Linked DNA regions of Canis lupus familiaris. The protein of the gene in region 3 interacts with the protein of the main gene of each other region in a biochemical or structural test. Links are inferred from orthologs where the notes say so. Each region holds a gene or a part of one and is shown on either strand. Other genes may lie near its edges.

Region 1 (3,722 bases), on a different chromosome or scaffold from region 3:
TAGCAGAATGAAGTTTTTAGACCAATTAAGTATTACCTTTTGTTCGGTTGTAGTTTTATTCCTGACATCACAACCTTTTTGCTGCCTCTGAAGTTGCTTTATGCCTGGAGGTGGGCCTTGCAATGATAGGTTTGTCTGTAGACTTTTACGAATGTCACTCTGAAATTGTAAAGGAATTATGAGAGTTGTGGCAGCAGGAAAGGGGAAACCCAAGCCTCTCAGAGCTTTGCAGAAGTAAGAGCAACTAACATTTTCTAATATATGCATTGTTTGTTCTCAGCTGGAGCAGCTCCCTCCCCAGGGATAGTGGGATATCTGCCACTTCTTCTTTTTCTGTTTCCTTTTTTGTAGCTTTTAGGACAACTGGAAAACACAGGGCCTCCCCCAGCTGACAAGGAAAAGATCACATCTCTTCCAACAGTGACAGTAACTCAGGAACAAGTTGGTAAGTTCATTTCTATTCTTACTCTGTTAACTTCTGATCTCTATTCAAAAATTCCAGCACCTTCCTATACTGCAGATCTTCAAGTGAAGCTTTAGCACTCCTAAAATTCTACCTAGATGTCATATATGGAAGGTGTCTACCTTTTCATTAGGGTTAGTCATGTTGATGCAAAGTGGATAAACCTTTTTTTAAATTGCAAAGAGAAAGGAAGAGAGTTTTATTCAAGCCTAAGTTAAGACAGTTGCCAGGTTGCACAATCTTCATAAAGAAGAAAGAGCTCCAGGGAAAGACCATTTGGTGAAGGGTTATATATGTTTTGTTTGTTGGTTTTAAAATAGGCTGCATGCCCAACATAGGGCTTGAATTTATGATCCTGATATTAGGAGTTGCATGTTGTACTGACTTAGCCAGCCAGACACCCCTGTTTTTTAAATATAGCAAAGGACAGTTCAGAAAGTTACATACTTTATCTCTATATGACTTGAAGCTTACGGGAACAAGGGAATTTTTTTTCCTTATCCTTATGTTTGGGATGCTCCTTTTTGGTTATTATTATTATTATTATTATTATTATTTTTAACAAAGCAGATGTACAGTATATGCTCAGAGCAGAAATAGAGCTCATGCTTTGAGGTTTTGTGGTCATTTTGATCTTGGTAAATGTTAAAGTATATAGATTCCCTGGGGGTCTAGGGGCCTGCAGATGTTAAAAGCTGAGAATTTCTTTTATCAGCAAGTAAGTTATTTCCTCAACAGCCACCATGTCCTTTTTCTAGGTGCCATGCAGGAAACAAAGAGGTACAAGATAAGACTTGATTTCTTGAAGATCTTACCAGGGGAAGCAAAACTCAACTAGATGATTAGAGAAAACAGTATTTAAAAAAGTATTGAGCAGGTGATACAGAGAAAGAGAAAAAGTAGGAGGCTGGGAATTTGTCTCATATTTACTCTGTCAGATACAGTTAGGTACTTTAGATATAGATATTATCTTATTTTTAAGCATTGAAGGAATTTAATAACAAGGAACATTATTTTGAACTAAGAGTTTCTTCCCCCACAAATTCCAGTTTAAGTTAGAGAAGATTTTAAAGACAAGATAAGCCATCTTAGGTCATTCTATTCAAGGGTAAGTATGAACCAATGTGAGCTGACATGCTCACCCTTTGGAGCTGGTATCATGGTATACCAGCATGGACATGGTATCTGAATCAGGTATAAGGAGAGTGACTTTATTAGCCCTGAAATAGAATCTGGTTTAGGAGTAGTGGGAGGTATGACTGGTTAGGAAGGGTTGGGCCTTGTCTGAGTGGACCTTGAAATTGGCACAGTAGTTAGGGCTGGATATTTTAGATAGGAGGCAAGTTTCATAGCTCCCCAAGTGGAGGATTGAGGGAATTTAGTTGGTCTTTAGGGAACATTAGTTTGGAGGTAGTGCCTGAAATGGATTGGAAGGCAAAAAAAGCCGAAACAGAGATTTAAGGGGCTGCTACAGTATCCAGGTGGGGCGCAGGTGATGGTGGCAGTGCTAACAGGGAAGTGTAGGCTCAATGTCGCTTTGAAGAAAGGCTTTTGTCATTGATTGCATAATAGGATAAAGGAGGGAAAAGGGTCAAAGAGGACTCTAAGGTTTCACAGTTGGGAATTACAGCGCTTGTGCTGCCATCTATCAGGGGTTGGGGAATTGTGAGTGGGCCCTGGTTTGTGTACAGAAGTGATGTGTTATTTTAAATTTGAACTTTTGATTTTGAGGTACCAGCTGGGAATCCAAGTAAAGATGAGCTGAGGATTTCTGTAAAGCCAATATTAGGGAGAATTAGCTGGTTTCAAAGCTTAGGTAAATTTGGAGGGCTGAAGGCTAAGGTCAAGAATACTACCTAGAAGGCTATTCCAGTAGACCAGACATAAGAAATAAAAGCTAGAATTTAGGTAAAGGTGTCAGGGAAAAGTGGAGAGGAAGGAGTAAATCTATTAAGTATAGCCCTACTCCAAGTCCTTGACTGCTGTGGGTACATAGCATGTCCTGGCCACTGGAGACAGACACTAGCTGGTATTAGCCAGATTTGGGAAACCAGACTTTGCTGCCTCATACTCCCAATTTAATTTGTAGCCATTTCCTCACAGAGTGTTTCTTGTCTCTGGACTTGGAGCCTAAGCTATCCTTGAGCTTGCAGTTCTATAGCACCACCTCCTGGTACAGCTTTTTGTTTTTTTTTTAATGATAGTCACAGAGAGAGAGAGAGAGAGAGAGAGAGAGAGAGGGGCAGAGACACAGGCAGAGGGAGAAGCAGGCTCCATGCACCGGGAGCCCGACGTGGGATTCGATCCCAGGTCTCCAGGATCGCACCCTGGGCCAAAGGCAGGCGCTAAACCGCTGCACCACCCAGGGATCCCCCTGGTACAGCTTTTAATTAACTTGTACAGAGGGCTTTAGGATAACCACACTGAAAGAGGAGGTGAAATGGGGAAAATAGCAGGGTAAAAGTGGCTTGAGACGCTGATTGGGAACTGCTAAGATTGCCATGAAGTGTCCCTTGGTTGTGGTGGATGGATTGCCTGTATTTACTCTATGTAGAAACTGCCAAAAGGCTATCACATGTCTGAGAAGATGTTTTTCCTGTTTTACTTAATAGATATCTAAGCCCCAATTTATTTTTTTTTCCAAGTCTTGACATTGAAAAGTAGGCCTTACGTAGTTTCTGTGTAGGCCTTAATGAATTAAAGCCCATTCATGTCCCTGTCTGCTATCACCTCCTCCCCCATTTTGAAATAAAATTTGTGCTTTCTACCTCTTCCACCTAGGATGCGCTTTCTGTTTTTTCTTTACATGTTACTTAAGTTAAAGACACTGGACTGGTTTTTTCTTCCTTTTTTGCTCACTCACTTTAGAAGGCATTTCCTCCTCCAACAGATATGGGTTTAGAGTGTCCAGTGTGCAAAGAAGATTACACAGTTGAAGAGGAAGTCCGGCAGTTACCCTGCAACCACTTCTTCCACAGCAGTTGTATCGTACCATGGTTAGAACTGGTGAGTATAGACAGCTGTCATGTGTGATAGGCCATCTCTGCCAGTCACAGCTTCGGCAGTGTGGGGATGGTTTGGGGTTAATAGAGACAAGCAGAGCAGATTTTAGTTCCTGGCTAATTCCTACTGGCACCATTAACAGTTTTTAGATCATCACTGTATGTTTGGAACTTCTCTAACAAGAGGTTACAAAAGCATAGCCTACAGGTCTTGGGCCTGCCGCTTGTTTTTGTAAATGAAGTTTTCTTGGAACGCA
Region 2 (3,822 bases), on a different chromosome or scaffold from region 3:
GGCCTCTGAGATACCATACTCTCCTGGTTTTCCTCCGCAGCATCCTCTAGATTCCAAATGTTTAAGTGACCCTGAAGTCTGTCCTCAGCTGTCCTCTCCCCTCTATCTACACTCATTACCTAGGTGTGAGTGTAGCTAGTCTGATGGCTTCATACGTTATCTCTATCTCAGTGATTCCTAGTTTAAATCCCTAGCCTGAGTGATCCTGTCTTTCTGAAGCTGCAGACTCATATATCCAAATGCTGACTGACGTCTCTAATTTGAAGGTGTCGTTGGCAATTTCACACGTCCAAAACACATTTACTTCTCCCTACTCTGACCAAAATCTGTTCTTCCCAATCTCCCCCCATATTTATGACTGAAACCCCATTCATCCAGTTGCACGTTCCAAAAACCTTGCAGTTACCCTTTCCCTCTCACCTCACATCCAATCCATCTGCAAATCTCTCCGTTCTACTTGAAAAAAAAAAAAAATCCCTACTCTGATCATTCCCCCCTCCCCCTCCTTCCTGACCATACTAGTTAAGGTCACCATTGGGTATTATTTAGACTCCTATAATCTCTTCCTAACTAGCATTCCTCTGATTAAGACCTCCTTATGTCATTTCGTTTTCTGCTCAAACGTCCCTCTTTAGAAGACTTCATGACCGCATTGGCATCCCCATCACTCTCTACCCCTTCCTCTGCTCTATTTTTCTTGTGTTGTTCCCCCCCCAACCCTTCCTGCCTGAGCCAGTATTTTAGTGCGTTTGTTATATATCTATCCACTAAAAGATTAACTTGGGGAGAACAGGGGCCCTCTATATCGTTGTATGCCCAATTCCTACAACAGTGCCTGGCACACAGGAAGCTCTTTGAAAAATAGGTGTTGGATGAATGACCTGCCAAAGGCAAGGGGTGCAAATAAATGCATATCCAATAGCTTTCCATGGGCATCTGCTCCCCCCTACCCCACATTCCCCCGCCTCCACTCTTTTCATCCCTAGGGAGACAGGCGACACTTCCTGAGGTTGGGGGAAGGGCCCCTCAGTTTCCTTCGTCCTCCCACCTCGTGGGGGAGTCAAGACTCAGTGGGCGGTGAGCGGCCAGACGTCCCTCTCTATGGTCTTACTCTCCAGGCCCCTCCTCCCTAGCACCCGGCGTGCCTCTATGGTTCTTCCTGTCATTAGTCGGGAGGGGGCGCTGTGCGCAGGCGCGGGGTGAAGTCGCGGCGGGGCCGGAAGGAGTGCAGCGGCGGCCTCGGCGGCGGCGGCAACGAAGCTGTCGGCGGCCGCTTCTGGTGACTAAAAGCTGTGGCGACAGAAGCCGCCGAGCCCGCTTGGCGAGCCGGCGAGCTGAGTGGCGAGTAAGTGTCGGCCGCGGGGCGCGCCCAGCTCCTCGGCAGGCCGCGTGAGGCGAGTGGCGTCTCAGCCCAGCGCCTCCATTAAGCCCCAGGGTGGGGGCGGGGGCGGGGGCGGGGGCCTCGGCTGTGAGGGGCGGCGGGGCCGCGGAGTCGGGGGCGCGGGCCTGGCCCGGCGGCCTCCCGCAGGCGAGCGGGCCCGGAGCCGCGCGGGGCCCCGCCGAGGGCCGGGCGGCGCGAGCAGCGGGGCTGGCGGTGAGGCGGGAGCCACAAAGGCGGCGGCGGCGGCTGGCGGACGCTCCCCCGCGCCCGCCACTTCGGGAAGTTTCGCGGGCCGGTCCCTCGGCCTGCTGCGCGAGGGCGAACGCGCCGAAAGACCCGAGTTTCCCGGCGGCACCTCGCGGGAGGCGGCGTCGGTGGAGCCGAGCGCGGCCTGGAGCGCGCGGGCGGTGATGCACTGGGACTCTGAACTCCGGCGTCCCCCTTCACCCCCCCACCCCCCCGGGGCCCAGGGGCGTCGGGCCTCAGTCCCCAACCCTCCCGACTCGGTTCAGGAGCGCCGTCTTGTCGGGAAAGCCGGCGGCTCCCACCCAGCCCTCGTGAAGACATGCAAGTGCGTCAAAACCCTCTGCAGCGCGGGGAAGGCGAACCCGACAAATGTGCCTGGAGCGCCGCGCAGTGAACGAGACCGGCGTTCCCGCGTGGGACGTGGCTGGAGACTGCGTGGAACGACGGTCTCAAAACTTTGGGCCACTTCAGTCCTGTGCGAGACCCCCCCCCCCCCGTCTCGCCCACCGGCGCCCCCCCCCCCCCCCCCCCCCCCCCCCAGTGCCTGCGTTGTGATAAGTGCCCGGGTATGGCTTGTCCATCCAAGTCACTTTGCTAATGCAAAGAGAAGATTTTTTTTTACCCTGCAGGGAACTGGGAGAAGACAGGGAAGATTTTAGGACCGACCTCAATTTTAGCACGCTTGCCTGAAAAAAGACTGCCAAGAAACAGCCTTGCTTTGTTCTATTTGTTGTATAGGTAATTTATTGGGGCTCGGGGTACAGACTGGTGTGAAACTGAGGAAATCGCTGGAGAACTGGAGCCAGATTTGGGATCTCCCCCCTTAAACCTAAATAGAGGCTAGCGGGCAGCAAGTTTTTTTTTTTTTTTTTTTTTTTTTTTAAACCTGCCTTCCAGCCCGAATGGAGAAATCTAATAAAGGAAGTTGAAATTTGAGTCAAGAAGACTGAAAGTTTATGAAATAGGGTCGATGAGAGCACCTGAGTTTGCTGACCCTGATGGCTTCTATTTAATGAGTAGTTGCTATATTCTAGGCTGTGTTAAGGTCTTTTCAGACCTCATAACTAATTCTCATAGCTGGCAATATTTTACTTTTCTTGTCAGTAAGACAAACATGATGCTAGTAACTATGCTAGGTATTGTTCTAAGCATTTTTTAATGTAATAACTCCTCTAATCTTCAGTAATGGGGGTTCCGTTATTATTTTAAAAGGAAGAAAACGAGGTACTGAAAAATAAGTAGTCAAAAAACTCCCACAGAGCTGGGACTTGAATTCAGTTTGGTTCCATAGCTCATGCTCCTCCTACTAATTACTTTGCCATCCCTGTAGATGATATTTATTCGAAAAGTTCTTCTGGAGTATTTACTTTGTGCCAAGCAGTATGTCCTGCGGCTAATGGAATGAATAAGATGTCGGGTCCTCCATCCTTGGAACTTGTTTTAGCAGATAGCTATTTAATGTAGCTTTCTAAGTATTTGTAGATTATTATTGTGCCAAGTACTTTGAAAGATTGAGATATATTGTGTGAGTGAACAATGGGGATGGTTAGGTGTTTCTTTTTTTTTTTTCTTTTTTTTTTTTAAGATTTATTTATTTATGATAGACATAGAGAGAGAGGCAGGTTCCATGCTGGGAGCCCGACGCACGAGACTCGATCCTGGGACTCCAGGATCGCGCCCTGGGCCAAAGGCAGGCGCTAAACTGCTGAGCCACCCAGGGATCCTCCTGGTTAGGTATTTTTGAGGAAGTGATATTTAAGATAAGAAACTCAAAGATGAATGGAGTTAATTTGGTCAGAAAGAGGCAGTGAAAAATAATCAGCCAGCCAGAGGTAAGAGGAAGGAGCATGGCCCGTTCAAGGCCCTGAAAGAATGGTGAATGGAGGAGAGGTGTATGGTGAGGCTAGCTATGTCAGCAATGGTCCTACGAGGCAGCGTTTCACAGGCCACGAAATTTTGGTTCTATGACGAAATCTTATGATTTAAAAGAAACAGCACCTCAGTGCCAAATGAAAATAAGTGGGAGAGTAGAACCTATAGGCACTTTTGGGGTGGCAGGGGCAGCTTATCATGAATTCACAGAGGATTCACCTCTAAAAAGATTGAAAACCATGATCCCCCCCTTGTGAATAAGGATGTGCTTGCTTATTTCAGTTTCTGAACCAATTTTCGGTTGACATTTGAGGAAAATCATA
Region 3 (3,503 bases):
GTCCACCAGATGCCTCCGTGTGTGTATCTAGTACAAGGCGGCGTAGGTGGTACAGGAAGGCCAAAGGACATTCTAGAAAGTTCGGTGGACTTCCAGACGCCTCTCGAATAGGTGCGGGCAAAGCGTGCGGGGTTTCTGCGCCCCCTTCTAGCCTTCGGCCGTCCCGCACCCCCTGCTCCCCCGCTGCCCCAGCCCAGCCCGGGCCCACCTCCCGCCCCGCGCCGCGATCTGTCGAGTCATCCGTCCTGTCCGCGCCCGCGCGGGGGGATGGGCGGGCCGCAGGCCCCGGCGCGAGGACCCCTGCGGTCGCGGAGGGGCGAGGGACCACGACGCCCAACCCCTCTCCGCCCAGGGCGGGTCTCGAGAGCCGCGGGGACCGCTGCGGCCGAGGGGAAGGGGTGTCTGGGTCCCGCGGCAGGGGCAGCTCGCCCCGGACGCCCGGCGATTCCGCGCCGGGTTTTCCCGTCTCCCGCGGGCCCTGTTCTCCGCGCTCGCCCCCTCCCCCCTCCCCCCTCGCATCCGGCGCCGGCCACGTCCGCGGACGCAGCACTCAACGGGCGCGCTGATCCCTCCGCGCGGGCGCTCGGGACCGCGGCCCTCTCCTCGCCAGATTCAGCCCTACAGCCCAGCCTTGACAGGTCGACGTTTCCGGGGGCTCCTAGAAGATTCTGGGGCAGTGGTTTTCTCCCTGGAGGCCAGGAAGACGGTGAAAAGTAGTCCCTTCTCGGCGTTTCTGCGCAGGGATCCGCCGGAGCGGCGCGGCCGATTGTTATATAAGGAGGCGCCGGGCGTGGCGCAGGCAGTTCCGTGGAGGCCGGGAGGTCGGTTGTTCGTCTCCGTGCGCTTCTGTCACAGCCGCTTGGTGAGGAGCGGGCCGCTGCGCGGGCCTGGGGGTCTTGGGGCCCTGCAGGGGCGGGGGGCCGGGCAGCCGGCTGCCCGGGGAGTTGCCCGCGGCGCCGGAGCGCGGTTACTCTTGGGGGGGGGGGCGCAGCAAAATGGCGTCCGCTACGGCTCCTGTGCGGGGAGAAGCCGAGGTGCGAGGGGCCGTGAGGAGCCCGGGAGACGGGATGGCTGTGAGCGGGCGAGACGCGCCGAGCCAGTGGGGCCCTGACGGGGCCCTCTGCGCAGTGAGTGGGGGCGGGAAGCCCCTGTGTGCTCCGCGGCCCCGCTGGCGCCACGCTCCGTGTCCGGTCGCGGCGAGTGGGCCCGAAGTGCCGGAGCAGTCCTGCGCCCGTTTGGGGGGAGGGGGCCCGCTCGTCGCGTCGGTCATGTGATGTCATCGCTTTGTCAGCTAACAATCCGGGGTGGGGCCGCGTGTTCCTGTGTGTGGAGCCGGCTTGGGTCAGTCGCGGGGCACAAGGGTTAGGCGGGGCGGGGGAGGGGAGATCCTGCGGATTGTCCGGTCCAGACATCACTGAGGGGGGAGGGGAAGATACGGAAGCCGGCGCCTTCACTTGACCGGTATCCATGCTTTCTCTCCTCCTGGGGCCTGGAACTTGGTTTTGGAGCTTATTTGAGTTTCCAAAACCTGTCCTGTTTCTTCGCCTTAGGTTTTTTGGCGAGGTTTATTTTAGTTCTTGGGTTAGTGTAAAATGACCAGTAACTGTTAGCGTTCTATTCACATGTGAGTGGTCTGTTACACTCCGGATTGTTTTTTTTGTTTTTTTGGGTTTTTTTGTGACAGACAATGCAGATCTTCGTGAAGACTTTGACGGGTAAGACCATCACCCTGGAGGTGGAGCCCAGTGACACCATCGAGAACGTCAAGGCGAAGATCCAGGACAAGGAGGGCATCCCCCCTGACCAGCAGAGGTTGATCTTTGCTGGCAAACAGCTGGAAGATGGGCGCACCCTGTCCGACTACAACATCCAGAAGGAGTCCACTCTGCACCTGGTCCTTCGCCTCAGGGGGGGCATGCAGATCTTCGTGAAGACCTTGACGGGTAAGACCATCACCCTGGAGGTGGAGCCCAGTGACACCATCGAGAACGTCAAGGCGAAGATCCAGGACAAGGAGGGCATCCCCCCTGACCAGCAGAGGTTGATCTTTGCCGGCAAACAGCTGGAAGATGGGCGCACCCTGTCCGACTACAACATCCAGAAGGAGTCCACTCTGCACCTGGTCCTTCGCCTCAGGGGGGGCATGCAGATCTTCGTGAAGACCTTGACGGGTAAGACCATCACCCTGGAGGTGGAGCCCAGTGACACCATCGAGAACGTCAAGGCGAAGATCCAGGACAAGGAGGGCATCCCCCCTGACCAGCAGAGGTTGATCTTTGCCGGCAAACAGCTGGAAGATGGGCGCACCCTGTCCGACTACAACATCCAGAAGGAGTCCACTCTGCACCTGGTCCTTCGCCTCAGGGGGGGCATGCAGATCTTCGTGAAGACTTTGACGGGTAAGACCATCACCCTGGAGGTGGAGCCCAGTGACACCATCGAGAACGTCAAGGCGAAGATCCAGGACAAGGAGGGCATCCCCCCTGACCAGCAGAGGTTGATCTTTGCCGGCAAACAGCTGGAAGATGGGCGCACCCTGTCCGACTACAACATCCAGAAGGAGTCCACTCTGCACCTGGTCCTTCGCCTCAGGGGGGGCATGCAGATCTTCGTGAAGACCTTGACGGGTAAGACCATCACCCTGGAGGTGGAGCCCAGTGACACCATCGAGAACGTCAAGGCGAAGATCCAGGACAAGGAGGGCATCCCCCCTGACCAGCAGAGGTTGATCTTTGCTGGCAAACAGCTGGAAGATGGGCGCACCCTGTCCGACTACAACATCCAGAAGGAGTCCACTCTGCACCTGGTCCTTCGCCTCAGGGGGGGCATGCAGATCTTCGTGAAGACCTTGACGGGTAAGACCATCACCCTGGAGGTGGAGCCCAGTGACACCATCGAGAACGTCAAGGCGAAGATCCAGGACAAGGAGGGCATCCCCCCTGACCAGCAGAGGTTGATCTTTGCCGGCAAACAGCTGGAAGATGGGCGCACCCTGTCCGACTACAACATCCAGAAGGAGTCCACTCTGCACCTGGTCCTTCGCCTCAGGGGGGGCATGCAGATCTTCGTGAAGACTTTGACGGGTAAGACCATCACCCTGGAGGTGGAGCCCAGTGACACCATCGAGAACGTCAAGGCGAAGATCCAGGACAAGGAGGGCATCCCCCCTGACCAGCAGAGGTTGATCTTTGCCGGCAAACAGCTGGAAGATGGGCGCACCCTGTCCGACTACAACATCCAGAAGGAGTCCACTCTGCACCTGGTCCTTCGCCTCAGGGGGGGCATGCAGATCTTCGTGAAGACCTTGACGGGTAAGACCATCACCCTGGAGGTGGAGCCCAGTGACACCATCGAGAACGTCAAGGCGAAGATCCAGGACAAGGAGGGCATCCCCCCTGACCAGCAGAGGTTGATCTTTGCTGGCAAACAGCTGGAAGATGGGCGCACCCTGTCCGACTACAACATCCAGAAGGAGTCCACTCTGCACCTGGTCCTTCGCCTCA

The links.
Region 1: the proteins of UBC (region 3) and RNF115 form a complex in vitro, tested with the Homo sapiens proteins (3 studies listed by BioGRID, with this or other methods). The link is inferred for Canis lupus familiaris from reciprocal best matches to the Homo sapiens genes UBC and RNF115.
Region 2: the proteins of UBC (region 3) and RNF216 form a complex in vitro, tested with the Homo sapiens proteins (2 studies listed by BioGRID). The link is inferred for Canis lupus familiaris from reciprocal best matches to the Homo sapiens genes UBC and RNF216.

The regions. Positions count from the first base shown.
Region 1 is NC_049238.1:59,229,317-59,233,038, reverse strand, and holds part of RNF115 (E3 ubiquitin-protein ligase RNF115), read left to right. Parts: intron 1-351; coding exon 352-445; intron 446-3,353; coding exon 3,354-3,469; intron 3,470-3,722. UniProt on the Homo sapiens protein: E3 ubiquitin-protein ligase that catalyzes the 'Lys-48'- and/or 'Lys-63'-linked polyubiquitination of various substrates and thereby plays a role in a number of signaling pathways including autophagy, innate immunity, cell proliferation and cell death.
Region 2 is NC_049227.1:12,342,791-12,346,612, forward strand, and holds the start of RNF216 (E3 ubiquitin-protein ligase RNF216), read left to right. Parts: upstream 1-1,183; 5' UTR 1,184-1,345; intron 1,346-3,822.
Region 3 is NC_049247.1:5,229,343-5,232,845, forward strand, and holds the start of UBC (polyubiquitin-C), read left to right. Parts: upstream 1-703; 5' UTR 704-862; intron 863-1,684; 5' UTR 1,685-1,687; coding exon 1,688-3,503.